Linked DNA regions of Macaca mulatta. The protein of the gene in region 2 purifies or fractionates together with the protein of the main gene of each other region. This does not show direct contact. Links are inferred from orthologs where the notes say so. Each region holds a gene or a part of one and is shown on either strand. Other genes may lie near its edges. The genes, in order: EPB41L3, GSK3B, GSKIP, PRKAR1A, PRUNE1, PPP2CA and YAP1.

The links.
Region 1: the proteins of GSK3B (region 2) and EPB41L3 purify together in Homo sapiens (affinity purification with mass spectrometry; 4 studies listed by BioGRID and IntAct, with this or other methods). This does not show direct contact. The link is inferred for Macaca mulatta from reciprocal best matches to the Homo sapiens genes GSK3B and EPB41L3.
Region 3: the proteins of GSK3B (region 2) and GSKIP purify together in Homo sapiens (affinity purification with mass spectrometry; 10 studies listed by BioGRID and IntAct, with this or other methods). This does not show direct contact. The link is inferred for Macaca mulatta from reciprocal best matches to the Homo sapiens genes GSK3B and GSKIP.
Region 4: the proteins of GSK3B (region 2) and PRKAR1A purify together in Homo sapiens (affinity purification with mass spectrometry; 3 studies listed by BioGRID and IntAct, with this or other methods). This does not show direct contact. The link is inferred for Macaca mulatta from reciprocal best matches to the Homo sapiens genes GSK3B and PRKAR1A.
Region 5: the proteins of GSK3B (region 2) and PRUNE1 purify together in Homo sapiens (affinity purification with mass spectrometry; 5 studies listed by BioGRID and IntAct, with this or other methods). This does not show direct contact. The link is inferred for Macaca mulatta from reciprocal best matches to the Homo sapiens genes GSK3B and PRUNE1.
Region 6: the proteins of GSK3B (region 2) and PPP2CA purify together in Homo sapiens (affinity purification with western blotting; 3 studies listed by BioGRID, with this or other methods). This does not show direct contact. The link is inferred for Macaca mulatta from reciprocal best matches to the Homo sapiens genes GSK3B and PPP2CA.
Region 7: the proteins of GSK3B (region 2) and YAP1 purify together in Homo sapiens (affinity purification with western blotting; 3 studies listed by BioGRID and IntAct, with this or other methods). This does not show direct contact. The link is inferred for Macaca mulatta from reciprocal best matches to the Homo sapiens genes GSK3B and YAP1.

The regions. Positions count from the first base shown.
Region 1 is NC_133423.1:76,749,169-76,753,482, reverse strand, and holds the start of EPB41L3 (band 4.1-like protein 3), read left to right. Parts: upstream 1-1,328; 5' UTR 1,329-1,615; intron 1,616-4,314. UniProt on the Homo sapiens protein: Tumor suppressor that inhibits cell proliferation and promotes apoptosis. Modulates the activity of protein arginine N-methyltransferases, including PRMT3 and PRMT5.
Region 2 is NC_133407.1:163,632,545-163,637,021, forward strand, and holds the start of GSK3B (glycogen synthase kinase-3 beta), read left to right. Parts: upstream 1-1,542; 5' UTR 1,543-2,556; coding exon 2,557-2,644; intron 2,645-4,477. UniProt on the Homo sapiens protein: Constitutively active protein kinase that acts as a negative regulator in the hormonal control of glucose homeostasis, Wnt signaling and regulation of transcription factors and microtubules, by phosphorylating and inactivating glycogen synthase (GYS1 or GYS2), EIF2B, CTNNB1/beta-catenin, APC, AXIN1, DPYSL2/CRMP2, JUN, NFATC1/NFATC, MAPT/TAU and MACF1.
Region 3 is NC_133412.1:169,670,151-169,674,499, reverse strand, and holds the start of GSKIP (GSK3B-interacting protein), read right to left. Parts: upstream 2,885-4,349; 5' UTR 2,834-2,884; intron 1-2,833. Other genes in the region: ATG2B (autophagy-related protein 2 homolog B), read left to right, coding at 3,427-3,588. UniProt on the Homo sapiens protein: A-kinase anchoring protein for GSK3B and PKA that regulates or facilitates their kinase activity towards their targets.
Region 4 is NC_133421.1:78,192,767-78,196,918, forward strand, and holds the start of PRKAR1A (cAMP-dependent protein kinase type I-alpha regulatory subunit), read left to right. Parts: upstream 1-1,344; 5' UTR 1,345-1,484; intron 1,485-1,768; exon of another isoform or gene 1,769-1,887; intron 1,888-4,152. UniProt on the Homo sapiens protein: Regulatory subunit of the cAMP-dependent protein kinases involved in cAMP signaling in cells.
Region 5 is NC_133406.1:116,095,613-116,099,735, reverse strand, and holds the start of PRUNE1 (exopolyphosphatase PRUNE1), read left to right. Parts: upstream 1-1,131; 5' UTR 1,132-1,303; coding exon 1,304-1,342; intron 1,343-3,733; exon of another isoform or gene 3,734-4,123. UniProt on the Homo sapiens protein: Phosphodiesterase (PDE) that has higher activity toward cAMP than cGMP, as substrate. Plays a role in cell proliferation, migration and differentiation, and acts as a negative regulator of NME1. Plays a role in the regulation of neurogenesis.
Region 6 is NC_133411.1:143,102,155-143,105,114, forward strand, and holds part of PPP2CA (serine/threonine-protein phosphatase 2A catalytic subunit alpha isoform), read right to left. Parts: coding exon 2,788-2,960; intron 2,030-2,787; coding exon 1,940-2,029; intron 1,454-1,939; coding exon 1,292-1,453; intron 157-1,291; coding exon 38-156; intron 1-37. UniProt on the Homo sapiens protein: Catalytic subunit of protein phosphatase 2A (PP2A), a serine/threonine phosphatase involved in the regulation of a wide variety of enzymes, signal transduction pathways, and cellular events.
Region 7 is NC_133419.1:103,096,809-103,100,502, reverse strand, and holds part of YAP1 (transcriptional coactivator YAP1), read right to left. Parts: intron 2,321-3,694; coding exon 2,208-2,320; intron 102-2,207; coding exon 1-101. UniProt on the Homo sapiens protein: Transcriptional regulator with dual roles as a coactivator and corepressor. Critical downstream regulatory target in the Hippo signaling pathway, crucial for organ size control and tumor suppression by restricting proliferation and promoting apoptosis.

The DNA.
Region 1 (4,314 bases), on a different chromosome or scaffold from region 2:
GATAGGGTCTCATGGAACAAAATCTTTGCTTTGATGCAAGGAACCAGTGCTATGCAGCAGTCTTCCAAGTTACTTACCAACAGTTGAAAGGGTGTGGCTTCTTGACTGGTGCCAAGTGTTTCCAATATGCCCTTGTGTAGCGCCACCTCTGACTTCCTATAGAAAGCCTCTTTCCTCTGCCTCAGCCTGCTGAGGATTCCACAAAACACAGCTAGATGTGAGCTGCATGTGCACACTCCAGTCTCATTTAACAGTGCAACACCTGCACTCTCAAAACCTAGACATTTCCCTAATGGGCTATAAAATGTGCTATTTGGGCAGTTAATTTCAAAATGTTATTAAACTAATAGGCACTTGGCAATGTACCTCTTTCACATAGATACACCCAAGAGTCAGACGTTTCTGGTTGATTGGATGGCTTTCCAGACTTGTGATTGTCATATTTTATAGCTTTTCCTCCTCCAGAACGCTTTACGAAATCCGTTTTCCAGAAAGCACGCCTCCAGGAGCTACTAGGAGGCAGAGTGAGTGAAGACTGGCCTGAGTGCCCAGGGATAGACTGTGCAGTGAACTCTTGTCCAGGTCTTTGGGGTAGAGGTGGAAGGAAAAGAAAGATAATGTTCCCTTTGTTTACTTAGAAGGTCCAAGAGTTGTAGAAAGCACAGGTCTCGTTTTTAGTGTGCACGGGCATATATTCTCATGGCCTGGACTCACAGGCCACAGAATCAAGCAAACACGCATGTGACATACTGAGCCTTCAGGCCTGGAAACCCCGTGGGCACCAGTGGGGATGGCTTTGCAGGCGCTGGAACTGCGGGATCCGCCGCTGCAGGGGTGCAGGCTGGGTGAGAAAAGGGTGCAAGCTGGGTCTACACTGCTCTTCATATTTTGGCGCTTCATGTGAAGTTGGATGATGCTTAAATGAAACAGCCCCCAAGCCACTTTCTGGCCTACATCCCCAGACCGCCGCTGTGAAGTTAACTCTTTTCAGAGATTGCAAAAATTTAATACCAGCAAAAGAAACCAAGTTACCAGGTCCCCTTAAGGCACACGAAAGGACATTTATCATAGCCTCTCCTTTCCCTCCAGTCCCTAGCTACACAAAATTGTGTGTGTGTGTGTGTGTGTGTGTGTAATTCTTTCCCTGCTTGCAGAGACCGCTGGCTATAAAGCCCAGGGAGGCCTGTAAGGAGACCCACACTTTGCGAGCGCGCGGCTCGAGGGCGGGCTCAGGGCGGGGCAGAGCGCCGGGACCGCCCGGGCGCCGGGCGCAGCCAACGAGAGGACCGGGAGGGCGGGCCGGCGAGGGCTGAGCGGCGCGGGCTGTCACAGGCGCCCGAAGCGCGCTGCAGGTGGCAACTTGGAGGTGCCGCCACCGCAGCTGCGGGAGGAGCCCGGGTCTGGCGGCTCCTTCCAGCCTCCAGGAGCTCTTTCCCGCCGCCGAGCCCGAGATTGGACCTCGGAGAATTCGCAAGAAAGAGCCCCTGCGGAGGGACCTGTGAGCAGCCCTACCTCACTCTGCCCTTGCGCTACTTTTTTCCTCCAAGGAAGGTTGTGCCCGCGGGCTGCCAACAAGCTCCGGGAGGGGCCCCAAAGGAAGGCTTCGGTGACCCAGGTGAGCGCCTTTCCCTTCCAGTGCCCCATCCTTCTTGGCAGTCGGGCGTAGGCCGGGAGCGCCGCCTAGCCCCGTGGGTAGGGGCGCGGGTGCGGGCCGCCTGCCCTTGGCTCGAGGTCGACGGGGGAGAAAGCAAGGAAGGGGCGAGGCTGGCCCGACCGGGGGCTGCCGGGCCGGGTCCGCCCGGAAGCGGCAGGGACTCTCGGACCGGCACCTGGAGACTAGGGACGAGCAGAGAGGTGCTTTGAGGCGGACAGAGGGCTTGCGCCCGGTTTAAGCTGGCCGGGATCTACCGCCTGCGCTCTGTGCTGGAGCCGCCGTGGGAGCCGAGCGCGGCGCCTCTGCGAACCCCAGAGCTAGTGCGCGGGGCCCGGCGAGCGCACCAGTCTTCGGTCCCTCGGAGCCCAAGGCCCTGGAGGACGTCATTCCTCTCCGCTCGGGCAACTCCTCCTCCGCCCCGTCTTGCCTCCACCCCTCCGCGCCCGCCGTTTAGCCTATTCGGAGACTCCGTGCTTTTTGCCAGCGCGCGCAGTGGTTGCTGCTGTCACTCCCCTCCCCGCCCTCGCAGGAGTTGGAGCGACCTGGGGTCTGGGTCCCCGGCCCCCGCCGCCTAGTTGTGGGCTGGACGCGAGTGGGGCTGGCCAGTTCTTTGCGAGGAGGGCAGGAGTGAGCGCGGGCTCTCTCTCTAGTGCTCCTTCCGAATCCGTCCCCGCCCGCCCCTGCAGCTCGAACCGCTAGCCCAGAGAGCGGAGTGTCAGAAGCCAGATCTTGTTAGCTCTGGGGAAACTAGGAAGCCTGGGAAGGTGCGAACCTCGCCGATGAGGCCAGAGCCTCCGCCCCCATCTCAGTGTTTCTGCCCCTGCTTTCCTGCTTTCAAGTGGACAGTGGCTTTGACCTCCGCATTCCTGCTTGTGGCGTGGGGGCGCTAGCGGCAGTGTGTGTGTGTGCGGTTTGTAAGGATGAGCGAATGCGATCCTCCGGGAGGCAGAGGCGCAGGAGCCCGTTCCCCCAGCCCGGCAGAGCCGCAGGGACCGCCACCCCTCGCCGCCAGCGGCGCGCAGCTGCAACTCCGCGCTGCCGGTTTCTCTCCTCCCGCTCCAGCTCCCAGTCCCCCCCCACCAACGCGGCATCCCAGGATTAAAATCATCTGGCCAAAGGGTGCGGGTGGGGGATCGAGGTGCTCCCGAGGCGAATGAGGCTGTTTCTCAAAATCCTGGGAGCGCCCCTCGCCCGGCGCTGCATCTTCCGGTGGCTGGGCTGTAAGGACCGGCGGTGGAGGCTTGGCGGAGGCGGGCCCGCGCTCCAGAGAGGCCGTCATGTCACCCGAGAAGCCGACGCTGGGGGCTGCTGAACCTCCGAACTCCCTTTGACGCGTCCTGCTCGGAGCCGGGGAGCTCCTGGCTGGCCGGGGGAGCGCCGCGCGGGAGGTGCGGTGGCCTGGCCAGTGCTGCGGGAGGGCGCCCCGGGCGCGTCGGGGGCTGCGTGGGGGGGCTGGAGAGCGCGCGGGGAGCTGCGGCGGGCTTGGGGCACCCGAGTGGCGCTGGAAGTTGAGCCGGGGTCCGCAGGGCTCGGTGACCGCCCTGGCGCCGCCGCTGCGGATTCGGGAACAGCGGCCACGCGGCGCGTTCGGCCGCCCCCTCGGCCCGCCCGCCGCGGCTTTCGCTTTCCTTCTGCAGAAGTGAAGCCGCCGCCTGGGCTCGCTCCGGCTGGCGACCTTTGCGCCAGAAAAGCCTGAGGTGCTGGAGGCGAAATCCTCCCGGGAGCGAAGGGCGGCGTCCACAAGACAAGGAAAGGGAAGACGCCGGGCTCCGGCGGGTAGCGCAGTCGCGGGAGGGCGGCGCTGAGCGCCAAGGATCCCCGAGGCGAGGCGGACCCAACCCAGCCGGGAGGTGCTGCCCTGGCCCTTGGCGCTCTCTCACAGGGAGCTGGTGGACCCCCCGCCCCTGCCAGTCCGTAACTCCCGTGTAATTCCCTCTGAAGTGCTAAGACTGGGCCGGGAGAGGGCTGGAAGCCACTAAATGAATGAAAGTAGAAACGGTGGTGAATCCCAAATCTAACTATGGTTTAAATCTAAATTCCACGTGATTAGAAACAGATTCTAACCCGGTAGAGCAGGGTCTATGTGGGAGCTCCTATATCGCATTCAAATAATGGCAGTTACTGAGGGACACCGCAAGACTTGCCCCTCCCAGGCTGTAATTGTGCTGCTTTGGGGAGTGGGGGTGGGGTGGGCTCCAGTGTGCCCGTATCATTACACATAATCTAGAACGAGGAAAGAGTGAAGTTCAGGTCGGTTCTGAAATGACCTTGGGAGTCTCCGTCTTCACTTTCCCTTACTTGCCTAGGCAGTTCCCAGTTGGATCAGTTACAGTTCAGACTTGTGACACCAAGGGGTCAAAGAGCCTCCCTTGTAACATTAGATAATAGTCTTCTTAGAATGTGTGGTAACCGTAGGAAAACATTCTCAGTACTGAGGAGCAGAGGTATAAAACCGAAAGTTTGCAACTAGGCTATGACCTCTCAATCCCAATAATGGAAATACAGCTCTTAGTGGAATGTAAGTTATTGAGGGCAGGGTTCTTTCTCATTCTTTTATTCCCAGAGTCTGGCACTTAGTAGGTGTTCAACAAACATTTGTGTAGAGCAGGGCCTATAATTAAAGACATTGCCCTGAAAAGACATTTAATAATTTTTAGGTC
Region 2 (4,477 bases):
TGTTCTACTTTCTCTCTCTTGACGTAGCCATACCTCACTGTTCTAAAGCAGACCAAAGGAACTGGTTCTATCGTAGAACAATGGACGCTGGTCTTACATATGAAATCTATTCAAGCTGCACTTTTATAGATCACCCTAATTCCAAAAGATCCAAAACTACCACGGGCTCCTCTAACCCCCCATTTCCTTGGAGGCTTCAGGATATCCGGCCTGACGGCATTTCCCCTCACCTGCTTTCGGGGCCCGTTTTGCGCTGGGCAGTTGCGCCCAAGGAGCGCGCGCATCCAGCATGAGCTCATTTCTCATGGGCGTTTCCAGAGGCCCGGCCGGGCCGCGCACACCAAGCGCAGCGGGCCTCTCTATCAATGGCCCCCGAGGCTGGGCGGGGCGCGGCCGCCCAAAGAAGCTTTGTTCCCATTTTAGCGTCTGAGAGCTTGCTGCCGGCTGGGAAGGCCCCCTTTGTCCGTCAGGCCCTTTCGGGGAAGAGGCCGACACCCGGCACACGCGATCCAGGGCAGAGGGGAGCCTTAGGCGCGCAGAATTGGCTGCGCCCCGCCGAGAGCCTCCTGTGGATGGGGAGAACCCCTCGACCCCTCTGCTCGCTTGAGCTCTTAGAACCCAGCGCCGCCGACCGCAGCACTTTCCGATTTGCTGCGCCTAGGGCAGGCGGTCCCTATGTGCGGTTTCCACCGTAGTTGGAGGCCGCAGGCGAGCCGTCGGGTCGTCAGCCACGACCCTAGTCGGGCATCTCCCAGGTCCTGGGACGGAGGCCGAAGGCCAATCACACTGCAGCTAAGTCTTGCGATTGGACGGCAGTGAGAGCCGATTGGCCACCGCCGCGAGTTTCGAGCTCCACCCTCTCCCTTTTGCCCCAACTCCAGCGCCTAAGCTTCCGGCCAATGAGACGGCGCTTTATAGACGCCCTCCCTTCGCTTTCTTCTCCCCACCTTGGAGAGGGAGGGGAAGTCCTGACTGGCCAAACTGTCCTCGGAAGCCCCCTTCCCTTCACCAATCACCGAGGGAGGTACGCTCCCAGCGGAGTTTTCCAGCCAATTACAAAGCGGCGGCGGCGCCCAACCGTGCAGTTTCACCAGCGTCTCTGGGTTTCACCGTCTTCAACTCTTCAAGCTTTTTCGTGAGGGCCGGCGACTCTGATTGGCCACTGTTGCCATTGTCGAATGTCTCCTCCAGCCAGCCACCGAACAAGGCGAAATCACCCTTTCCGTTCGGCTGCCTTCGGCATTTTCCGCTCTTTGGGCGTGGCTTTCCAGCGTCACTTTCTAATTGGTTTCTCAGGCCGATCGGCTTTTTCCGGGAGGAGCCGCAAACAAACGACGTCCGTGATTGGCTCCGTTCGGGCTTCGGCTCCCAGCCGAAGCGGGCGAGAGTGGGGCTCGGGCGGCGATTCCCAGACGCCTGTTACGCGGGCGGCGGTGCGCTGGGCGGTGTAAGGCTGGGTGGGGGAGGAAGGAGGTGGAGGAAGAGTAGGAAGGGGGAGGGGGAGTGGGGAAGTGCAAGGCGGCTGCGCAGACAGCGCTCCTCACACAGAGCAGCCCCTGACCCGGGCGAATGCGGGCTTGTGCCGCCGCTGCCGCCGCCGCCCGGGCCGAGTGACAAAGGAAGGAAGGAAGGAAGCGAGGAGGAGCCGGCCCCGCAGCCGCTGACAGGGTTCTGGGCTGGGGGCAAAGCGCGGACACTTCCTGAGCGGGCACCGAACAGAGGCGAGGGGCGGGAGGGCGGCCGAGCTGTTGCCGCGGACGGGGGAGGGGGCCCCGAGGGACGGAAGCGGTTGCCGGGTTCCCATGTCCCCGGCGTATGGGGAGCAGTCGAGGAGCCGCTGCCTGGGGTCTGAAGGGAGCTGCCTCCGCCACCGCCGCCGCCATGGCCGCTGGATCCAGCCGCCGCCTGCAGCTGCTCCTGGCGCAATGAGGAGAGGAGCCGCCGCCACCGCCCGCCTCTGACTGACTCGCGACTCCGCCGCCCTCCAGTTCGCCGGGCCCCCGCCGTCAGCCCGCCGGATCCCACGGCTGCCGGAGCTGCAGCGTTTCCCGTCGCATCTCCGAGCCACCCCCTCCCTCCCTCTCCCTCCCTCCTACCCATCCCCCTTTCTCTTCAAGCGTGAGACTCGTGATCCTTCCGCCGCTTCCCTTCTTCATTGACTCGGAAAAAAAATCCCCGAGGAAAATATAATATTCGAAGTACTCATTTTCAATCAAGTATTTGCCCCTGTTTCACGTGATACATATTTTTTTAGGATTTGCCCCTTCTTTTCTCTCCTCCCAGGAAAGGGAGGGGAAGGAATTGTATTTTTTCCCCAGCCGTAAATCATCTATATGTTAAATATCCGTGCCGATCTGTCTTGAAGGAGAAATACATCGCTTGTTTTGTTTTTTATAGTATACAAAAGGAGTGAAAAACCAAGAGGACGAAGTCTTTTTCTTTTTCTTCTGTGGGAGAACTTAATGCTGCATTTATCATTAACCTAACACCCCAACATAAAGACAAAAGGAAGAAAAGGAGGAAGGAAGGAAAAGGTGATTCGCGAAGAGAGTGATCATGTCAGGGCGGCCCAGAACCACCTCCTTTGCGGAGAGCTGCAAGCCGGTGCAGCAGCCTTCAGCTTTTGGCAGCATGAAAGTTAGCAGTGAGTATTGATTTTATTTTACGCCCCTTTTCCACTTCGCCCTTAAAATAAGAAATCTCGGAATACCAGGATCTGAAAATATTAGACTTCCTAATATAACAAACAAGCAATGGAAAAGGGCAAAACCTATCTTCAGTCAAGGATGAAGCAGCTCCCTCTTTACTCCTCCCATACCCCCTCCCCCGGTCTCATTAACCTTGAATTGAGATAATATGATTTTTATTTGGATGATTCGATTTGAAACTGCTTTCTTATACTTTTCTTGCTGTTGGTAGTGAGTTTCATCAAGTGCTTGAGTGTTTCCACGTTAGTGATGACCGTGTTTACTTGCCCATCCTTTAGAATAAAGAGAAGGACAAGATTTGATTAATAAACCATTGTGCACATTTGCAGAATGTATGTCTTTTGGAATAAGAGGGTATTTTAGGTCTCAGGATTTATCATAGTTTGGTATACTTAATAGAGACATTAAACGTCCCACCCTCCCAACATTTTTTTCTTGTCTGTATGACTACACATAGTATTTGTTCTTAATCTGTGGATGAACTTGCTCAGTAACCATTCACATTTGGAGGCTGTCATTGATTTCTCTCTTTAGAAGGGACTAGTGGGAGCCAATAAATACCCAGCAGCAGTAGCATCTCTGTATGCATTTGTGTTCGATTGGATTAGTGGTTTGATGTGTTCTCTCTTAACCTTCCTGTTTTGACATTACCAACCTGCCACCGTATAATTTATATTTAATCAAAAGGTAACATAGAAGTATTAATAGGTCCAGGTTTTGATTGAGATTTGTTTTGTCATAGTGCCAAATAGTAAGTTAAATGTTGTCACTGGCTCATTACATTTAAGTTCAATTTTGGAGTACTGTTGCGCTCCTGTTAAATGTTCTGGAGGGTTCCTTAAAAAGGACGATTTAAAATACTCTTGCGTTAGTTTCCATCACATTTAGATAACTGTGGATTTAGTTAGAAGAATGTGGCTTTAGTCCTTTCCATTTTGGCTTTTGCAGATGGCTGTGGTCCTGGAAATAATAGGGATATTTGGACTGTGTTCAGGGTTGTAGATAGACTACTCTTGTCCTGGGTTTGTGCTGAGAAGTATGCTTTTGAAGTGTTTAGTATATACTAAGTATCTAATGTTCCAGTGTATCTCTATTTATGGAGAAGTTCATGTGGTGTTTAATGACAGCTTGTTTAAACATACTTTCAGAATTTAACAAAAATATCTATGTTGTTTCCTTATTGTGGGAAAGAGGGTCATCATGAGGGCAAAGAAATTACTGTGTTGCTTAGAAGAACGGAGAGAACTAAAGAACTGAGATTTTAAGAACTGACACACACAAAAAACATGTATGTTATGTGAAATTGATTATATTCTTAGGCAACATAAAATGATCACTTTTAGTTGAACTCAAGATTTCATTTCGTGTTGGCTTTGGGAACTAGCCTGAAACAGGGTAGTCTAGGTAATAGCTGAATGGGAGATTATTTTTCAAAGTTAATTTTTTTTTCCCCCGGTGGTTTGCAAGTAGAGAATGCCGGGGTAGGAAAAGAGGACAGCTGATTATGCATCTTTCAGGGAAGGGTCGTGCTTTCTAAGCGCTTCATGGAGTCATTTGAAAAATATTTTAAAATTCCGGGGTAATTTTCAGCTATGATGATACAAATCTTATAATAACTACTTAAGAGCCTCTGTTGGTACTGGAGTGTTTGTATGTTTTACATCTTGGTAATATAGTTTGAAAACCAGTCAATCAATTTCAGCTAATTGATTTATTAGCTTTATTTCAGAGATCTATAATGCTAGATTATAATGCTACATTTTGGGACT
Region 3 (4,349 bases), on a different chromosome or scaffold from region 2:
TTTTTCTTTCTGATATTTGAAATTGCAGGCACTGTATGGATAGCCTGAATGCAACTGTATATTGAAAAAGAAACCACTTATTTAATAGCTGCTGAAAGAAGTTCAAATCGTATCTATTTGTCAGAAGTCTATTTCAAACCTTCCAAAGCCTATTCTAATTTATTGCCGGATAAGATCCCACCTTTGACTTTTCACACCACCTTGCTTATATTCCTTTTATGGCAAATATTAGAATTATTATTTGCAAACATGTTTTATCTTCAAAATATATCCAGAATCCAACAGCTTCTAACTAATCATCTTCACTGCTACCATTTTGGTCCAAACCACTGTCATCTTTTCCTTGGATTACTACTACGATATCCTTCTAACTGGTTTTGTTGTTTTCACTCTGGTCCTCCCACTTCCACACCAGACTATTCTTAACATAGCAGTTAGCATGATCCCATAGAAACTGAGGCCATATTACGTCACTTCTCTCCTAAATCCACCTCACCCAGAGTAAAGGCCAAAGTTCTTTTTTTTTTTTTTTTTTTTTTTAAAGACAGAGTCTCACTCTGTTGCTCAGGCTGGAGGGCTGGAGTGAAGTGGCATAATCTCCGCTCACTGCAACCTCCGCCTCCTGGGTTCAAGCGATTCTCCTGCCTCAGCCTCCCAAGTAGCTGGGATTACAGGTGCATGCCACCACACCTGACTACTTTTTAATATATTTTTGGTAGAGACAGGGTCTCACCATGTTGGCCAGGCTAGTCTTGAACCCCTGACCTCAAGTGATCTGCCCGCCTTGGACTCCCAAAGTGCTGGGATTATAGGAGTGAGCCACAGTGCCCGGCTCCAAAGTTCTTATCAAAGGCCCAGGAGGCCCTACATGATGTGCTTCCTCTGCGCCCCCAGCCCCCAACTGCCCAGCTTCTACTTTTTCCTTCACTCACTCCTGATGTTCCCTAAACTCATCAAGCATTCTCCTGTGACAGCACGTTGCACTTGCTGTTCCCCTTGCGTGGAAAACAACTCTTCCAGGTATACGTGTGCCTCACTTCCCAGCTTTCTCCAAGTTTCTGCTAAAATGTAATCTTATTAAATAAGAGAATGTCTCTTACCATCTCATATAAAAATGGCAAGTCCCTTCTCTCTTCCCCATCTCCATCCCCTTTACAATGCTTTTGTTTTTCCAACAGCCCTTATCACCACAAAGCATATTATTCACTCATTGATTGCATGTTTCTCCTCCCTTCAATAAAACGTAAGTTCCGGGAAGGAAGAGACTTATCTGTTCACTGCTGTATCCCCAGCACCTAGAACAGTGCTTGGCACACAGAATGCAATCAATAAACATTTACTGAATAAATGAACAAACTTCCACTTTATTATTATTTTTTAAAGAGACAGGGTCTTGCTCTGTGGTTCAGGCTGGAGTGCAGTGGCATAATCGTAGCTCGTAAGATCCTTTCTGATATTTGAAATTGCAGGCAGTCTATGGATAGCCTGAATGCAATTCTGCAGCCTCAAACTCCTTGGCTCAAGCGATTCTTCCGCCTCAGCCTCCAGAGTAGCTGGGACCACAAGCAGGCACCACCATGCCCAATGACCTTCCACTTTAGAACATAAACTCCTTGAAGGTTCTGCCTGATTCTTGATACTGTTCACATCATCAACTGTGGTGACGTTCATTTAACAGACCTTAACAAAATTTTTGAGTGAAGAGCAAGGGAATCTAAGTTACTGAGAATACTTGGGGTAAGTCTACAAGGAATTAGGGGAATCAACAATCCAAGCAACTGCATACAGAGCACCCTGATTCTAAAACGAAAAGGTGGTTGTGGAAAGCGGAATCAGATGTTTCTCCATCTATCAACATTTTGGGCAGTATTTCCAAGGCATTCATGAAAGTTGCTGAGACAGTAAATATTTCACTCCTTAAACTGCTCGTCTTAATTCACTGGGATTAAACAGCTGTATGTTTCAGGACTCTGTTCAGGTTCGTGCCCTACTCATATCATTTAATCTTCCTAATAAATCCATGCACATAAGATTTTAATCCACTGACACTGGGCAAAGGAGGCAACGTGGACTCGGGGAGGGCAGTGGCCGGCTCAAAGTGGCTGGGCTAATAGGTGTCAGTGCCAGGATTCTAACCCAGGACATTTGGCTTCTGGGCCATCGAACACCGGCACCCAGGCCTTTCGAGGTTGACTAACTTAAGAGCCGGCTCCGCCTCTGCAGGAGTTGCCTCCCAAAAGGCAGAAATACGATTGCGCAGACGACCAGAACAGCCCAAGTTCTTCACCCAGGTTCCCGCGGGATCAGGAGCCTTCAACATTTCTCAAGGAATGCAGTTTTGCCCACAGATGCTTCGAAAACCCAAGTTTCCTGATCGTTGGTATGACACACCCAGGATTAAGCGAGCGTATGCGAGAAGCGCTCTGCAAACCGCCAGGCGAACGGCAACGAAGAGGAAGCCTCGGAAACAATACCTGAACGAGGCGGGGGCTGAAGAACTTGCTGACAATGGGCACCGGTCAATGCTTGGGGGCGGGCGGGGATGTTCAAGAAGGGCTCCAGTCCTCCCCGCGGAGACGGCGGAGCCCCAAGCGTGCGTTTCTGGGGCGCCGAGGTCTGAGGGGGGGCCGGGAGAGCCAGGTCGGTCTTAACAAGCCCCCAGACCCCTCTTAACACCGGCGCGGGGCCCCTGCAGCCTGCCGCCCCTCTCGGCCCAGCCCGCTGCGCGGCGTCGCGTCCCCGTCCGGAAGGCCCCACGGCCCGCCGGCGCCCCGAGCCCCTAGCCCTTGTCAGAGGCCGCCCCTCGCCCGCAGCCCGCCCGGCGGCTGCTTACCTGCGCACCCGGCGTCCTCTGCTTCTTCCCTCCGGAGGCGACTGGAGCCGACCGGCGGTGCCGCCCCCTCCCTCCCCGCCCTCGCCCGCCCCGCCCCCTCGGAGCCGGAACTGCTCCAGCTCCCGCCCTTCTGCCCGCCTTCCGCGGCCCCCTGTGTGGTGTCACTTCCGCCAGCGCCCGACGGCGCGCCGGGAGTCTGGGTCTCGCGAACGCGCCGGAAGCGTCCCTACAGCCGGGAACGCGCCTCGCGGATGACAACAAATTCGTCGCGCGGCGGCAGTGGAGGTGTCTGCCTCAGCCTGTGCCGCCTCCCCTCGCGCTCTCTTGCACTTTCTCTGAGCCGGTTGGGATCTCCCTCGGAAGTCCCCTGGCCTGGGGCCAGGAGGACCCCACTGCGTCTTGCCTCCGCCAGGCCCAGCGCGAGCGGCGCGGCGCCGGCGATGGGGTCTCCCTGAGGAACTCCCGGCGCCAAACAGCGATGAAGGGGCCGCCCCAGGCTTAGGCCCCGCCGCGGCCTGGAGCCGGAGTCGCTACCCTGAGGCCGGAGCCAGCGCCACCCGCAGCCGCAGTCAGCCCAGCTGCCAGCAGTCACCATGCCTTGGCCGTTTTCGGAGTCTATCAAGAAGCGGGCCTGCCGGTACCTCCTGCAGAGGTACCTGGGCCACTTTCTGCAGGAGAAGCTGAGCCTGGAGCAGCTCAGCCTGGACTTGTACCAAGGCACCGGGTCCCTCGCCCAGGTCCCCTTGGACAAATGGGTAAGAGCTGCCGGGCAGCCAGCCGGGCGGGGCTCGCTCCCCTCTTTAGGGCGCTTTGAACCGGTGCCATCCAAGATTGGTGACAGTCATTCCCTCCTTGGGAATTGTTTGGACCCGAGTGTGGCACGGCTCAGATAAATGTGTTAGAGTGTTGTTTAATCTGTTTAACAAGTTTGCTCTCCTGAATCACGTGTTCCGGAAACTTAACAGATGTAATGGAATCTACACTATGGGAATAATTGAGTCAGTGCTTCGGGGGGTCTGTGAAGCAGGCTCAATAGGTCCGTGGGAGGAGGTGACCAGAATTGTCCCTTGGGATGTGAGGGGCCGCAGGGTTTTGTGGCAAACAAACCCTGCCTTGTGCGATGACATTCTGGAACGATTAAGGATGAAGAGGACCTCTGGATGTCAGAATCCCTAGTTATTGGTTTTGGGTTGGCCACTTGCACACCATGTTTGCCTTGTTTGTCATCGTGCAGCGTTTGCCATCTGGAAGAAAGTTAGGTGAAGGCCTCCTGTGCCGGTTTGCCTGCTTTTGCTTGATTATATGTTTACAAGATAGGTTTGTGTACCCAGCCTGTGAATGGTCGTGTGGCCCTAGTAGTGCTGTTGAGTTACGCCTCTTTGCTTCACGTGACAGATCGTAAAAGCAGGTGTTGCAAAAGCGCTGAAGCTGCAATTTTCAGACATTTTAAAACCTGTCTTCTACTTGTCATCTAGAGGCTGTGAGTTCACTCATTGGTATACAGGTGCTTCATCTG
Region 4 (4,152 bases), on a different chromosome or scaffold from region 2:
GCTCTGTCTTTAATCCCCAATTCTGATCATCCCTGGAGAAGGGCCAATGGTCAACATTTGGGGAGTCAGTGAAAGGAGAAACTTCAATCCTCCATTCCCCTCTGTAGGCCTGATTGCCCTTTTGATGTCGCCTATGTGTCCCTGACTATCAGAAGGCAGTGAGTAACATAACTAAATAAATCATCTGACAGACAGTACCCTTAGAGTCCTGGTGGATTTGGGGGGAGCAGTCGGCCTCCGAGGGCAGCGCTGTCCAATAGGAATATAATGGGAGCCATCTGTGTAACTTAAAAATTTTTAATAGCTACATTAAGAATTAAAAAACAAAGGTGAAATTAACTTTAATAATATTTTACCTAATATATCAAAAATATCACTTCAATCTGGAATCAGTATAAACATTATTGAGATACTTTTTTGTATTGTGTTGAGTTCATTATTTACTTTAAACATACCATACAGCCCTTGAAGTATATACAATGTTACTACAACAGCTCCTAGACACTTGCATGTGTATTTTGCTTTTTTGTATCGTGTTGAATTCATTACGAATTTTAAGCACACAGCCCTAGAAATATATACAATGCTACTACAGCAGCCCCCAGCCAAACACTTGGATATGTGTCCTTGATGGGCTTTCTTTATTCAGTTAGAGACTTCATGTGTCTAAAACTGTACCCTGTCTCCCTTTTCTTCCTCCTGAGACAGATACTCTGATGGGGAAAAAAAAAAAAAAAAAAAAAAAAAAATGGCTGAAAGAGTAAAGTCGCTTTTCCTCCGAATTTCCCCCATTAGTGCAGCTTGTACGGACAGCTGCGATTTCTTGTTAGGTCACAGGGCGTTTGTGGCAATCTGCACGCTCTGCATTTCTCCCCCTGTGAGGTCAGGAGTGATGGGCGAGGGGGGGGGCACTTCAGGTTCTAGAAGGACCCGGGCAAAGTCCTTTCCCGTGCCTGGTTTCCACAGGGACGGTGTGGCCTGCACAGACGACAGCACGCCCGGCGGGGAGAGCGGCCGTGTCGGCCCAGCGGGGACTCGGCAGGGCTCAGGTTTCCCGGACCGGATGACGGACCTGAGCCCGGGGCCCGGACGGCGCTGGCCGGGCACAGGATGCGCAGCACGGAGAGCGCATCCCGGGCATCCGCCCGCGCTCGGCCCCGCGGCGCAGCTGCTGCAGATCCGCGGGGGCAGCCACCTCCTCCGGGGGCTGGCAACGCCAGGACTCTCCCCGCCCCGGCCCGGAGCCCTCCCCTGCAGGGGCCGCGGGGCGGAGTCGCCCACCTGTCATCCGAGACGCCCCACGTGGGTCAGCCGGGGAGGGGGCGGAAAGGAGGGAGAAAAGGCAGAGGCGTCGGGGGAGGCCGGAGGGAGAGTGGGGTGGACAGAGGAGCGGAGGGACTAGAGGGAAGCTCACGCTAGCTGCGCGGAGAGGGAGCGAAGAGCAGGAGGAACAGAGGCGACCCAAGACACCCAGAGAGGGACAGGTAAGGAGGGGCAGGTGAGCAGGAAGGAGGAGAAAACCGGGCTAGGGAGAGTGCGGAAAGGAGAAGTGGCGGGCGTGAGAAAACTGCTGTGGATAAGGGACGAGTAAGATGGAATGAATGGCGGAAGGCGAAAGACTGCAGAGTGAGGGTCCTTCCAAGAGCGACGGGGGAGGAACTGGGGCTGTTGCGCCCTTAAGGTTGCTAAGGCGACGGCTCTGGCCAGAGCGAGGCGCATTGACGTCAGCAGCCGAACGCTGATTGGCTGCGGCCAGGCCGTTTCCGGTGGAGCTGTCGCCTAGCCGCTATCGCAGAGTGGAGCGGGGCTGGGAGCAAAGCGCTGAGGGAGCTCGGTACGCCGCCACCTCGCACCCGCAGCCTCGCGCCCGCCGCCGCCCGTCCCCAGGTGAGTGGGGTCAGTCGGGGGCTCAGGCTAGGTGAGCTTCGTCGCTTCGCCGCCCGTTTGGGGGAGCTGGACCGATCCAAGATGGCGTCACGGGGAGCGACTTGCGGGGGGGACGGCCGCACCCCCCTGCCCCTCCCCGACCCGGCGGGCGCCTCCCCTCAGGCCTCACGCCCCCAGCTCCGAGTCTGCATCCCCAAGGCCATCTGGGCGTTGGCTTTGGTACGGGGCTTCCCAGCCGCCCAGCTCCCGCGCGCTGCCCCCACCCCACGGCGCTTGGAGCCCTGGGCCCTCCGCGGCCCTCCCCGGCCGCTTTCGCCCCCGCGCGCCGCGGCCTCCTCGCTCACCCTCCCCCATTTCCTGAAGGACAACGGCTCTATTTTGCTGGGGTCCGCCATCGTTTTGTCCGCCGGTCCTGGCTCTTCTTGTAAGCCGGCAGTTTTCCTCTCCACTCTAACGGCTCCTAGTCATTGCTAGCAGTAGCCTTTCCTCTCCGTAGCGAGGTGATCTTTCCCCCAGCACGACGGTCTTAGTCGGGCTCCTGAATTTCCTTTTGTCCCCCTTCACCTCCCTCCGTTTCCCGATTTTTCTGCCTAAGGCGTCCTCGCCACCACTGTGGCCTTCCGACTGGCGTAGCTTGAAGTCTCGGCTTCCCTTCTTCATTTTGTGGTCATGACCGTGGCCTACGTGAAGTGAAGGGCATTTTCCTGCCCTTCCTCTAGAAAATACACGGTACCTATTAACCCCTTCAGGTCAGAGCCTGTGGTGACGACCGTCTTATTCCTTCAGAGAGTCCCAAGAGATCCGTCTTTTCAGCAGAGCAAGGAAAGCAAACACTTCCTCAAGATGACCCCAGGGAAGCCGTAACTTGGCAGGTCTAAGGGGGTGCGGTCTGAATCAGGAACAGTTTCTCAAAGTGTTTTTATTTATTTCCCAGAATGTAATCCTTTCGAAGCAATTTTGTCACAACTGCATTTTCAAATGAATGAATCTGGGTATAGAGACAATGCAGCGAGTGTTTTAAAGCAGTTAAATAATTGTGTGTGGGGAGGGAAGGCTAGGTTGTTGGGCTTTTACAAATAAGTACACATAGAGAATCCAGGTAACTCTATTAAAAATATTAAGACTGTGAAATCTGATTATTCAGGGATTTACATGGTGACTGCATTAATCTTGGGACATTTCTGTTCGTATACTGGCTATCTTTTTGGTTTTTGTAATACATTAGTTGTTTCAAACAAAAGCACAGTTTCACGCCTTAGGCCCAGTTCTCTCATCTCTACCAGCCAAAGACCTGATCTTAGAATGATCGGTTGAATGTTCTTGAAATATGACTGTGTTTTGAAGCATGAAAGATCTGATTTATGATTGTTCTTGGTGGTCTTCAAGTATTACTTGAAATGCAGACAATTCTGCTGAAGTGGATTTTCAGTTCATAGGATTGCCTGACCTGGAGAAGTGGCATGTATAAATCCTAATTTTTTTTTTTGTTGCCTGTTTATTTCTAAAGTAGCAGCATGATTCTTTTTCCATGGCTTCTAATTTATGTGCTTGTCTTGGAGCCACAAATTTTCTAATAGTTTGTTCATTAGTCTACTTGTTATTGACCTTTATGGTGAAAGTTGTCAAGACAAAATGACTGACAGTGTAGCACTTTAGAATAGCTCTTTACTCTGGTATTTCTTTCTATAAATTCTTTTAAATGTACAGTTTCATCTCAGTAGTTTACAATGCATTATAATTGGAAAAGTCTGATTAGTATTGAATTCAGTTGCTGAGTGGAGGGGACCACACTCTTGTCTTCTACTCTTAAGTGCTTAGTAATTAGGAGTTGGAAGAAAAACAATATATGACCCTGTTGTTAAGTTACTAAATTTTTAATTCCAGGGTAGGGTTAGCTGCTCATTATTATCTCTGTTTGCTTTACTTTACATAAAGGTACCATAATTTGAATCCTCTAAAATCCATTAAATGCAATTTATCCGTTAAATGTAATCCATTAAATGCAATTTATCTATTGATTCTTCATGCAAGTTTGAAACTTAAGTGTTTTAACATTCACCTGTCCAGATGAAGAAAATATTTTGACAATTTTCTATCCAAATGTTTTACAGTTTACGTGGTAAGGATTCTTCCCTCCCCCAACTTAGGATTTTCCTTCTTTTACCAGTAGTGTATTATCATTTAGGGGTGGAATCTGGCAAACGATTCTGGAATAATAAAAGGTTGCTTTTAAAACTCACCTGAATGTTCTTGCGTGTTTTTAAA
Region 5 (4,123 bases), on a different chromosome or scaffold from region 2:
CTACTAAAAATACAAAAATTAGCAGGGCGTGGTGGCACGCACCTGTAGCCCCAGCTACTCGGGAGGCTGAGGCAGGAGAATCACTTGAACCCGGGAGGCAGAGGTTGCAGTGAGCCAACATCCTGCCACTGCACTCCAGCCTGATGACAGAGCAAGACTCCGTCTGAAGAAGAAGAGGAAGAAGAAAAAACTGGCAGAGCAGGCAGGCGATCCAACACCCCTGTGCTCTGGATCGTGGTTCCACCACAGGCCTCTCATCAGTCACCTCCTCTCGATTTACAGCTGGGGAAGCAGGAAAAGCTGGTGTGAGGCTGATGGTAGGAAATAAAGCGATAGATAAATAAATGAGGGAATTTTTGATGATGAGTGTCCATTTATTTACAGTACTTGCACTACCCTGCGGCTGCAAAGTGGCAGTTAAGGGAGGCTGGAACCTAACTCTACATTCTGAAGGGTTCCCTAAAACTCTATGTACAGGGCCGCCACAGGATGAAACTTCAAGCAACTCTAAAGGCTGAAAGAGCAGTTGGAACAATTAGGGTGGCAGAGAGCAAAAAGTCAAGGTTACAACCGTCCAAGAAAGGAAGGAGAAGATATTTGCGGAGGCTGTAGGAAAAAAACAGGCTACAGAGTTGCAAAGGGAGAAGCAGCAGGAGTTGGCAGGAGACTGTAGGTGTTAGGTAAACAAGAGGGGTCAAAGATTATTCTAATGTTCTCCTAACATGAACAACCACAAAACTGGTTGAGATTGAATCAGTTTGGTAAAAGGCAGAATTTCGGGAAAGAAGATCTGTTTTGCCAAGTGTCATTTAAAATGTCAACCGGATGCTCGGTGTGATATATGGAAAGATGTTATACTTAGCCTGATCTGAGAGGGAAAGTTCAGATGCCACAATAATGGGTTACTGTGACACATACACATTTGTTTACCAAACAACGGATCCCTCAGAAAACGCTCCTTCCCTCGGTAGCTAGGGACATTGCGGAGCCGCAGGACTACGTTTCCCACGTCGCCCCACGCCACACCCACTTGGCCTCTCCGGAAAGACGTCCCAGGAGCCTCTGGGCGTAGAGCCCCGCCTCCGCCGCTGGGGGAGGGGCGACGCCAAGCTCGGGAGCACCCGGTTACGCACTTCCTCCCGGGGTCGGAGGCCGATTAGCCGTGTGGCGGGTTCGAGTCCCGCCTCCTGACTCTGGCCTCTAGCCCCTGAGTCCCGGGCGGGGTGCATTCGCCGGGGAAACCTCTCCTCGACCACGGGCACCTCTCCTCGACCAGGGGCGACGGCGTACTTTGGGCTTCATCATGGAGGACTACCTTCAGGATTGTCGAGCTGCTCTACAGGTAACCGATCCCTGTATGTGACTGTAAGGAATGGAGCACGGGGTCCAGGAAGGACGAAGACGTGGGATCTGGGGAGCCTCGACGGTCCGTGTGGAGGGAACACTGAGTTGTGGGGAGGGGGGTTGGGGCCTGATCAGGTTTGGGGCATGAGGAGCGAGGAGCGAGAAGCCAGCTTAGGAGCGTGAGAATGCTGCTTGCTTAGTCTCCCGGTTTTTGGCTCCCCGCCTTTGGGGTCCGCCCGAGAGCTGGGAGAAGTCTTGGGTCTGAATCCTGCATTTGAGCCTCTGCTTGCTGTCATCTCGGTCAGTTCCGTCAAAAGGACCAGGACTGTGCGACCGCCAGCCGAGCCCCGCGAGGTGTGTTTATTCTTTTCTCCCCGCCCCTCTTTGAGTTCTCCGCTTCCAAGGCCTCGCTTGGCCCACTGGCCTCCAGGTGAACCTCGCGGGTGTGGAGGGAACCGGTGCTCACGGCTTTATTTCCTCTGAATGGCGGTTTCTGTCTGGCGGGCTGAACTCATTTCTAAGTTAGAAGTAGTCACGGTATTTTACTTTAAGTCAGTGTTTTTAAACCAAGCATACATAATCCATCAGGCATATTTGTTGACCCACAACCAGCATTCCTTTGCCTCCAGGTTTCTCCTTTGGCCTTAACGCACACACATTACATAAAAATTCTCCACTTGGAAGGGATAAGCACAAAGTGTGTTTAGAATCAAAACCATAAATATGACTACTGAATGCTTTGTGGCTTATTTTTGGTGCTCTCTGAGCCAGTTGGACTCACCCAGCCATGCTGAGCCGTCATGAGGCATTAGGCTGTTATCCCCAGTTAGCAGCAAAAAGCTAACCAGAGACAGACTCCAGGAGGTCACCCGGCCCCTCTACTTTGAGTTATATTGCCCTGAAGAAACCTAGACAGATGGCTTGCTGAGCTTTCCTTTTTAGATATCGGAAACTCAACAAATTCCCCTGGGGGACAGATTCTGTTCTTTAACAAATCCTGAAAGTCACTTAATTCCTGCTGCAGACTCAGCTGCTGGAATAAATGAATTGTCTTCATATTGAATTGGGGAGAAGGTCCATTTTAACACCAATTACATAGACATTTTCCTTGTGAAAAACAAATTTGGGGAGTTATTTCAATGCATAAGGCCATTTGGAACCAATCCCTTTTTGTTACGTCTGATTCCACCACAGGACTAATGTAGAGTTTTGGGGGCACCATTCTAAGTGCTAAACAGTTGGATTCCCCCCCCCCAGTAACCCAAATGACTGGTCTCTTCCACCAAGTGGTAAAGTGCCCTTGGACCTGAAACCTCACTAAATAGTATTTCTTTGCATGCATCTATTCTCCAACATATATCCTCCAGAGCCTCCCCCCACCCCCAGGTTAGCAGTATATTCTCTATTTTTATTTTGTATTTGTTTATTTATTTTGAGCCAGGGTCTCACTCTGTTGCCCTGGCTGGAGTGCAATGGTGTGATCACCTCCCCGGCTCAAGTGATCCTCCCCCCGGCTCAAGTGATCCTCCCACCTCAGCCTCCCGAAAAAGCTGCGACTATAGGCAGTGCCACCATGCAGGGCTAATTTTTTGTATTTTTGTAGAGACAGGGTCTCGCCATGCTGCCCAATCTGGTCTCGAACTCCTGGACTCAAACAATCCCTCTGGCTTGGCTTCCCAAAGTGCTGGAATTATAGGTGTAAGCCACTGTACCCAGCCCTAATAGTATATTCTCTACAGCAATATGAAGCTGGAAAAATACTTGATTTTTCCAATATTGCTGGAATCCTGACCTTTCTCTACCTGCATTCATCCCCCAAGGAGCAAGATCTAGCTCTTCTTTCAAACTTGTGAACTTGTGAAAGTTGAGATTGTGTCTTAGAGCTTTCATCATCACATAGCCTCTCCAGGGCCTGGAGAAATGAGAAAATTAGACTCTAGGAAGGTTAACAGGTGAACTGATGGCAAGACATACTGGTAGATGCCAACAATTTAGATTGCTTTAATTTTTTTTTTTTTTTTTTTTTTTGAGATGAACTCTCACTGTCGCCCAGGCTGGAGTACAGTGGTGCAATCTTGGCTCACTGCAACCTCCACTTCCTGAATTCAAGCGATTCTTCTGCCTCAGCCTCCTGAGTAGCTGGGATTACAAGCTTGCGCTACCATGCCTGGATAATTTTTGTATTTTTAGTAGAGACAGGGTTTCACCATGTTGGCCAGGCTGGTCTCGAACTCCTGACCTCAAGTGATCTGCCTGCCTTGGTCTCCCAAAGTGCTGGGATTACAGGCATGAGCCACCACATCCAGCCTAGATTGCTTTAAATTATAGAAGTAGTAAATGTGTACTTTATGAATAAATTTAAATACCAAAGGGATATGGAATGAAAAAGATAAAGATCATTTTTCTTCTCTCCTCTCCATCCAGTTCTCCAGAGGACACCCTGTTAAGTTTCTTGTGTAAAGAGAGAGAGATGATTTAGACAGATACATTCTTAAGTTTGAATGTTCCTGTTAAACTACAGTTTAATTATAACTTTCAGAAAATCATGAATGCTCTTCTTTGCACAGAATAAAGACAGCTGGTAATCCAGCCAAGTCTCCCGTTGCTACTGTATTTTTAGTATTTGATACCAGAGAAATTTTCTACAGCCTCTGCCACAGAGACAATAGGATGTTCCATTAAAAAAAAATCTTATTTAACCAAATGTCCTATTTATGGTGACTCATCTTTCACTTCTAGGGGGGAGAAATCTTTGCTTCAGGCTGGGGCTGCATTGCAT
Region 6 (2,960 bases), on a different chromosome or scaffold from region 2:
CAGTAATGCAATAAAATGTTCAAGTAGAAATACTTACAAAGAGTATTTTAGAGTATCGTCAAGTTCCATGATTGCAGCTTGGTTACCACAACGATAACAATAGTTTGGAGCACTGAAAATTGTTACTACATTTCGGTCATGGCACCAGTTATATCCCTACAAGGAAAAGGAGGCAAAAATCTTACTTTACTCCCTCAATTCAACTAAATGCTACTTCACTCAAGAGAGAAAAAAATCTCTACTCATTCCCACCCCTGCCAAAGGGGCTTAAGAAATGTTAATACTTTTTTTCTGGTTGACTTAATAATTTGCTGTACTTCATACAACCTGTAAGATACATACGTATTTGTTTTCCCCCTAATTACAAAATTTGCTTTTAGTACTAAAAAGAAAAAAAAAAAGCCTTTAACAAACAGTGGCGACCACCGAAGAATGAACTGCTTCTCATGTATCTGCCTTGCTGTAAATGATGGTGTCTCATTAGCCTCTTCTATTGCAGTGGTCTTAAAACATGATTTAAGAATGAGTATTTAAGTGGCCATTCCCTAGAGAAGTAGATACCTAATCCTGGAGATCAGAACCTTACCAATTTCGTCAGTTACAGGTAAAGGCCTGTAAGTCATTCACTGCCCAGGAACAAATGTGATATGCCTCTAGGATCTCCAGCCTTGTTTCCTCAAAATCCATCCATCTGAATGCATGAGCTACTTTTGTTACTTTTTGTTTAGTATTGTTCACAAATTTATTTATCTTTAGCAAAGTCAGATTTTATTGATAACCACAGAGTTGTACTAGTATTAATCTAATTAGCACCTTATTTTAGAAACATGCTAATCAGTGTGCATGTCAAGAACCTTTGCCTCTTTCCCTTCTCTTCTTTCAAATTACCTGTAATCCTACCATCCAAAGGACCACTTAGAACATTTTGGTGTATTTCTTTCCAGTCTCTCCTACATACATACATGTTAAATATATGAAATGACATTGGGATCATAAAATATTATATACACACCCCAACTCCCTACATCTTACTTTCCCACTCTTAGATCCCAAGTACTTCCTAGTCATTCAGATTTCTCTGGAAACATGTTAATGGATTCATTGTAATCAACAACTTGAGCTTTTAATTCTAGTAGTGTGCATCTACTGAAAAGGCTCAGGCTATAATGGTAAACTCATCAGAAGGAATAGATGGAATTTCTCACAAATGTCATTAATTTAAAACTCCCTAATATCTTCTCTCCTTAAGTTTACTAAAAAACAAGTCATATTTCAAATAATAGAAGCATACCTCCATCACTAGCTGGTGAGCTCTTGACACCAACGTGAGGCCATTGGCATGATTAAATGTCTCTGAAATATCTTGCCCAAAGGTGTAACCAGCTCCTCGAGGAGATATTCCCCAACCACCACGGTCATCTGGATCTGACCACAGCAAGTCACACATTGGACCCTAAAAAATAACTTCGTTATAAAATGCCTTTTACAAACATGGTTAACACATTATTTGAGTAATTCATCAGAAGCAGCACCCTAAGTCACCCTCTTTGAGTGATGTTTGTGGACAACGCTAGTAGATTATGCAGTTGAAGTCAAACATCTGCATCAAGTAATATGTATTTTCCAGTAGACTTTATGAGACACAGCTGACATCCATGGGACCCAGCAGTAACATGCCTTAATTAATCTGCCTATATTATGCAAATTTCAGAGTCTAAGACAGACAACCTAGGTCCTAATAAGCCCAGCTCTACAGCTGCTGTGATCTTGGCAGGTTTCTTAATGTCAGCTTCTTCTGAACAATAGGGCAGACAAGAGTGTTCACACCTCAAGTTGTTTTTGAGAATTATAAGAGAGAATACATCTAATGATCTTATAATTAAACCTCTCCACTCTTTAATAAGTTTTCTGGAAAGATTTTATCAAATAAAAGTCATACCTCATGGGGAACTTCTTGTAGGCGATCAAGTGCTCTGATATGATCCAGTGTATCTATAGATGGCGAGAGACCACCATGTAGACAGAAGATCTGAAAAGAGTGGTTTAAAAGGTTAACCTCACCTAAAAAATTTGTAAACATTCTTGGCTGGGCACAGTGGCTCATGCCTGTAACCCCAGCACTTGGGGAAGCTGAGGCAGGAGGACTGTTTGAGGCCAGGAGTTTGAGACCAGCCTGAGCAACACAGCAACACCCTGTGTCTCTATAAAAATTTTTAAAAAATGAGCTGGACGCCCCCATCACTTGGCCCCTCTGGTGTTTCTGTGCTCTGCCTGAATGAGGCCTGACTTTGCAGGATTCAGCTTTGCTCCAGCCCACTCTAAACGATTGAGTACACTCCCATTCTTCCTAATAGAACATCACTGTCACACCCAGACTCCACCTCAAACAGCTCCTTTGAGAAAACTTTTTGGATATCACTCCTGCCCCCTGCCAGAGACTAGTATCTCCATGCTCATAAAATTTTATTATAAGTTCTTTTGTGTGCACAATAATTAGTTCCTTACATCTCCCAGACTTGTCCAAAAACAGTCTGAGAGAATAAATGGGCTACATCATCCACCCCTGTGATCCCATCATATAGTTCAGTGCCTGATATAAAGAATAATGCACTTTAAAAAGCTGGACACATTTGTCAAATTAATTTTTTAAAATTTGAATGAATGCTATCAATATCTACTAAAAAATATCCCTAAAGGGGTATAACAGTGGAAAGAGTCAGGAGCACCTGAACATTAAAGGAAGTTGATTCTCTGAAATAATCAGCAATGAGTTTTAGATCCACATACCTGCCCATCCACCAAGGCAGTGAGAGGAAGATAGTCAAAAAGATCTGTAAAATATTTCCATACATTTGCATTTCCATATTTTCTTAAACACTCATCATAGAAACCATAAACTTGTGTGATCTGTCTGCTCTCATGATTCCCTCGAAGAATGGTGATGCGTTCACGGTAACGAA
Region 7 (3,694 bases), on a different chromosome or scaffold from region 2:
TTCCAGTGTTCCAAGGTCCACATTTGTCCCAGGAATGGCTTCAAGGTAGTCTGGGAAACGGTTCTGCTGTGAGGGCAGGGTGCTTTGGTTGATAGTATCACCTAGTGGAAACACACACAGAGAGATAACAAAGTCCTTTTTGAAAAGCTAACATCAGGGCTGTATCATATGAGCATACAGAAATGCACAGGGAAAGAAAAGCGCTCCTGACTGACCTAAACTGATACCTAGAATTTATATCAGGTCAAACAACTCACAGGTAACAAGATAACAATGCCGAGTTTACTTTTGCTTCAACATTTGTTCAGATATCCAATAACAGCTCGATTGCTATTATGTGCTGAGCACTAAAGGGAGTCATTAAAAAAATAAAAAAGTCCTTGAAAAATTATATGCAGCAGGGGGAGAAAGAACAAGAACACAACACAACAGCATCACTACCCTGTCTTCCAGATAAGCACCACCATAATAAGACTAAACATAAAAACGAGTGGTATAGAACTTCCTTGGTCTTAAAAACACTTTGGGAAACATTAAAATAAAAGGACTGCATGAATACTTTATTCCACCCTTATGCACCTTCATAACAGCAAAACAAGCTTCCCAGAGGGCTTTGAAGAAATACATCTTCTTAGCCTTGCTTCTAGGTTTCCCAAACTTACTCCGCCACAGAGCCTTTTTTGCATATGACAACATTAACATTCCTCAGAGCTTCAATAGAACATACTTTCAGAAAAACTAATATAAATCATTAAGTGCTATAGGGATCTAGAGAAGAGAGAAATACAGATTAGAGAAGTAAAAGTGTGTGTGAAATGGGTTTGAAGTGGCTCCTAAGGATGATTTAAAATCTAGGTAAGCAGAGAGGAGGGGGTAGTGTGGATTCTAGAAAGCATCAAAGCCAGGAGCTGGATGAGTACAGGCACAAAAGCCTTGCTAAACACTTTCAGAAGAGAAGCAGTTAGCGAAAGAGCTGGTAGCTAAAGAACAGCTTCATTTCCCTGCCAATTCATGCAGTCTGGCAGTTGTCAAGTTTAAGGCAATGGTTGCCAGGTAAGCCACAGGAGAAATGCTTCCTTAATTATCCCTGTGAGGCAGGTATTTCTTAGCTCCTGCAAGACCCCTGTAACTATTCCTTTTTTTTTTTTTGAGACAGAGTCTTGCTCCGTCACCCAGGCTGGAGTGCAGTGGTGTGATCTCGGCTCACTGCAACCTCCGCCTCCTGGGTTCAAATGATTCTCCTTCCTCAGTCTCCTGAGTAGCTGGGATTACAGGCGCACACCACCACACATGGCTAATTTATGTATTTTTAGTAGAGACAGGGTTTCACCATGTTGGCCAGACTGGTCTTGAACTCCTGACCTCAGGTGATCTGGCCACCTCGGCCTCCCAAAGTGCTGGGATTACAGGTGTAAGCCACCACACCTGGCCTTCTGCAACTATTCTAATAAAGTAAGTGGGCCCCACCTCCTAGTCTTTCCCATCTGGTTTCCTGAGCCCCGTAACACCTAAGGTGGACCAAAAACTCTTAAGAGAAAAGATGAAAACAAACACTGAATAACATGTAGACATTTCTCAAAATTAAGGACACAAATCCATAATAAGGAGAGAGATGTTCTAACGGGCACTTGTTTGTCTTGCCAATTAAGATCAACATGCTAATGTAAGTCATGCTGCCAGAGTTTTATTCAAATAGAGCTAATATATCCAATTTATGATTTTTTTTTTTTTTTTTTTTGAGAACGGGTCTCATTCTGTCACCCAAACTGGATGGAGTGTAGTGGTGTGATCACCAGGGCTCAATCCATCCTCCCACCTCAGCCTCCTGAGTAGCTGGGACCACAGGCACGTACCACAACACCTGGCTTATTTTTGTATTTTTTTGTAGAGATGGGGTTTCACCATGTTGCCCAGACTGGTCTTGAACTCCTGGGCTCAAGAAATACGCCTACTTTGGCCTCCCAAAATGCTGAGGTTACAGGCATGAGTCACCGCACCCGGCCAATTCATGATACATATTTTTTTAAACTAGGAAAATACCAGTTACAAATCACCATATAGAGACAAAGCAGGCTCAATTTAATTCGAATTTACAGGATTTTAATTGGTTTTCTTCTGAATAATCTTTGCTTACAATACCTTATTAGACCTGGTGATAACATATCCGACTGTAAGTCAGGCTACTAAGAGGAATAAAGAATACCAACCTGTATCCATCTCATCAACGCTGTTCAGGAAGTCATCTGGGGTGCGAGGGACACTGTAGCTGCTCATGCTTAGTCCACTGTCTGTACTCTCATCGCGAGAGTGATAGGTGCCACTACAAAAACATGACAGTTAAAGACCAACACAAAAAATTTTAAAAATCAATTCAAGGTAAAAATAAACACCTGCTGAGTACCAACATAATTCTCAAAGAGGGTTAGTGAAAATTCCTGCTCTGCAATGTCTGAAACAAGCCCCTCCCTCAGGGCCGTAGACAGGGCTTGTGCTATGAAGTGAAATAGACAAGTTAATCCTAATTGAAGCTAGCAGCCCTAAAGAGCCAAGATTTCTCCTAAGGTTCTGTGCTTGATGACAATAAGGGACAAAAAAAGGTACCCCCAGTTAGTTTTCCTGGCTGGCAGACAATTCTCTGCATGAGTATTCTCCTCTCTGTAATACTATTTGAATCTGGAGGTGGGGAGGAACCCACACAACTTACTTGTCCCAAGGTCTCAATTCTCCAGGTGGTGGTGGCACAGACAGAGAGGTCAAAACACAAACTCCAGGTGGGCGAGGAGACAGGTCTGCACTAGATTCAAGTTAAATTCCTAGCTCTTGTGCAGAGAACATAAGCCAAGGAAAAATCAACCCCAAATAAACCACCAGAATTCCTTTTAGGACTGAACCAAAATAGATGAGTCACTGCTGATAAGATAAGAATACTCATGGCTTGATCTCCTTGCTTCTGTGTTTGGGCGGGGGAGGAAAAACCCTCAAACACTTTAGTACGAAAGGAAACGGGAGATCATATAGCTCCAGTTAAAGAAAGAGCAAGACAAAAAACTGCAAGGCACATCCCTTGAAAATAAAATGACCCGACACAGATTTTCACTTTAGACTAAGCAAGGTTTCCCAGATTTACATTCATGTATGGTAAATATCCATTACTCTGATAAATAGAACACTCTCCTAAGCTGGTAGCATCTAGACATCAGCGGGCATTCACTGAGGTCTACTAACTCTAGAAAATTCTCAGTTCTACTAACTCTAGAAAATCTTGGAGAAAAGCATAAAATCAAGGCAGCTGTTATTCTTCAATGGTCTGTGTACATGTGTGAACTTTAACTTTCTCTATAGATTGTACATTTAAAAGCAGCTATTTAACTTACATAAAAGTTAAAAAATAAAAACAAGTTTAACAATTGCTCAAGGCTACAAGCTCAGTCAGTACCCCAACTGCCTTCCCTAAATGATGCAATGCGTTTGCCTTGTTCTTTCTCTCCCCTCATTCTATATACTGCAATCACTGGTTTACTCTAATGCTTCTGCCAGATTTTGCCAATGCTCAAAAGCTTCACACAGATCCAAGAAAACACATACTTGCCTCTGAGACCACTGATATACAATGCAGCCATGGATGAGAAGGCCTCAGTATTTGGCTTGTTTGTATTTTGCGTGCCCTGATCTGGGACAAGAGCCTGGTCCTAGT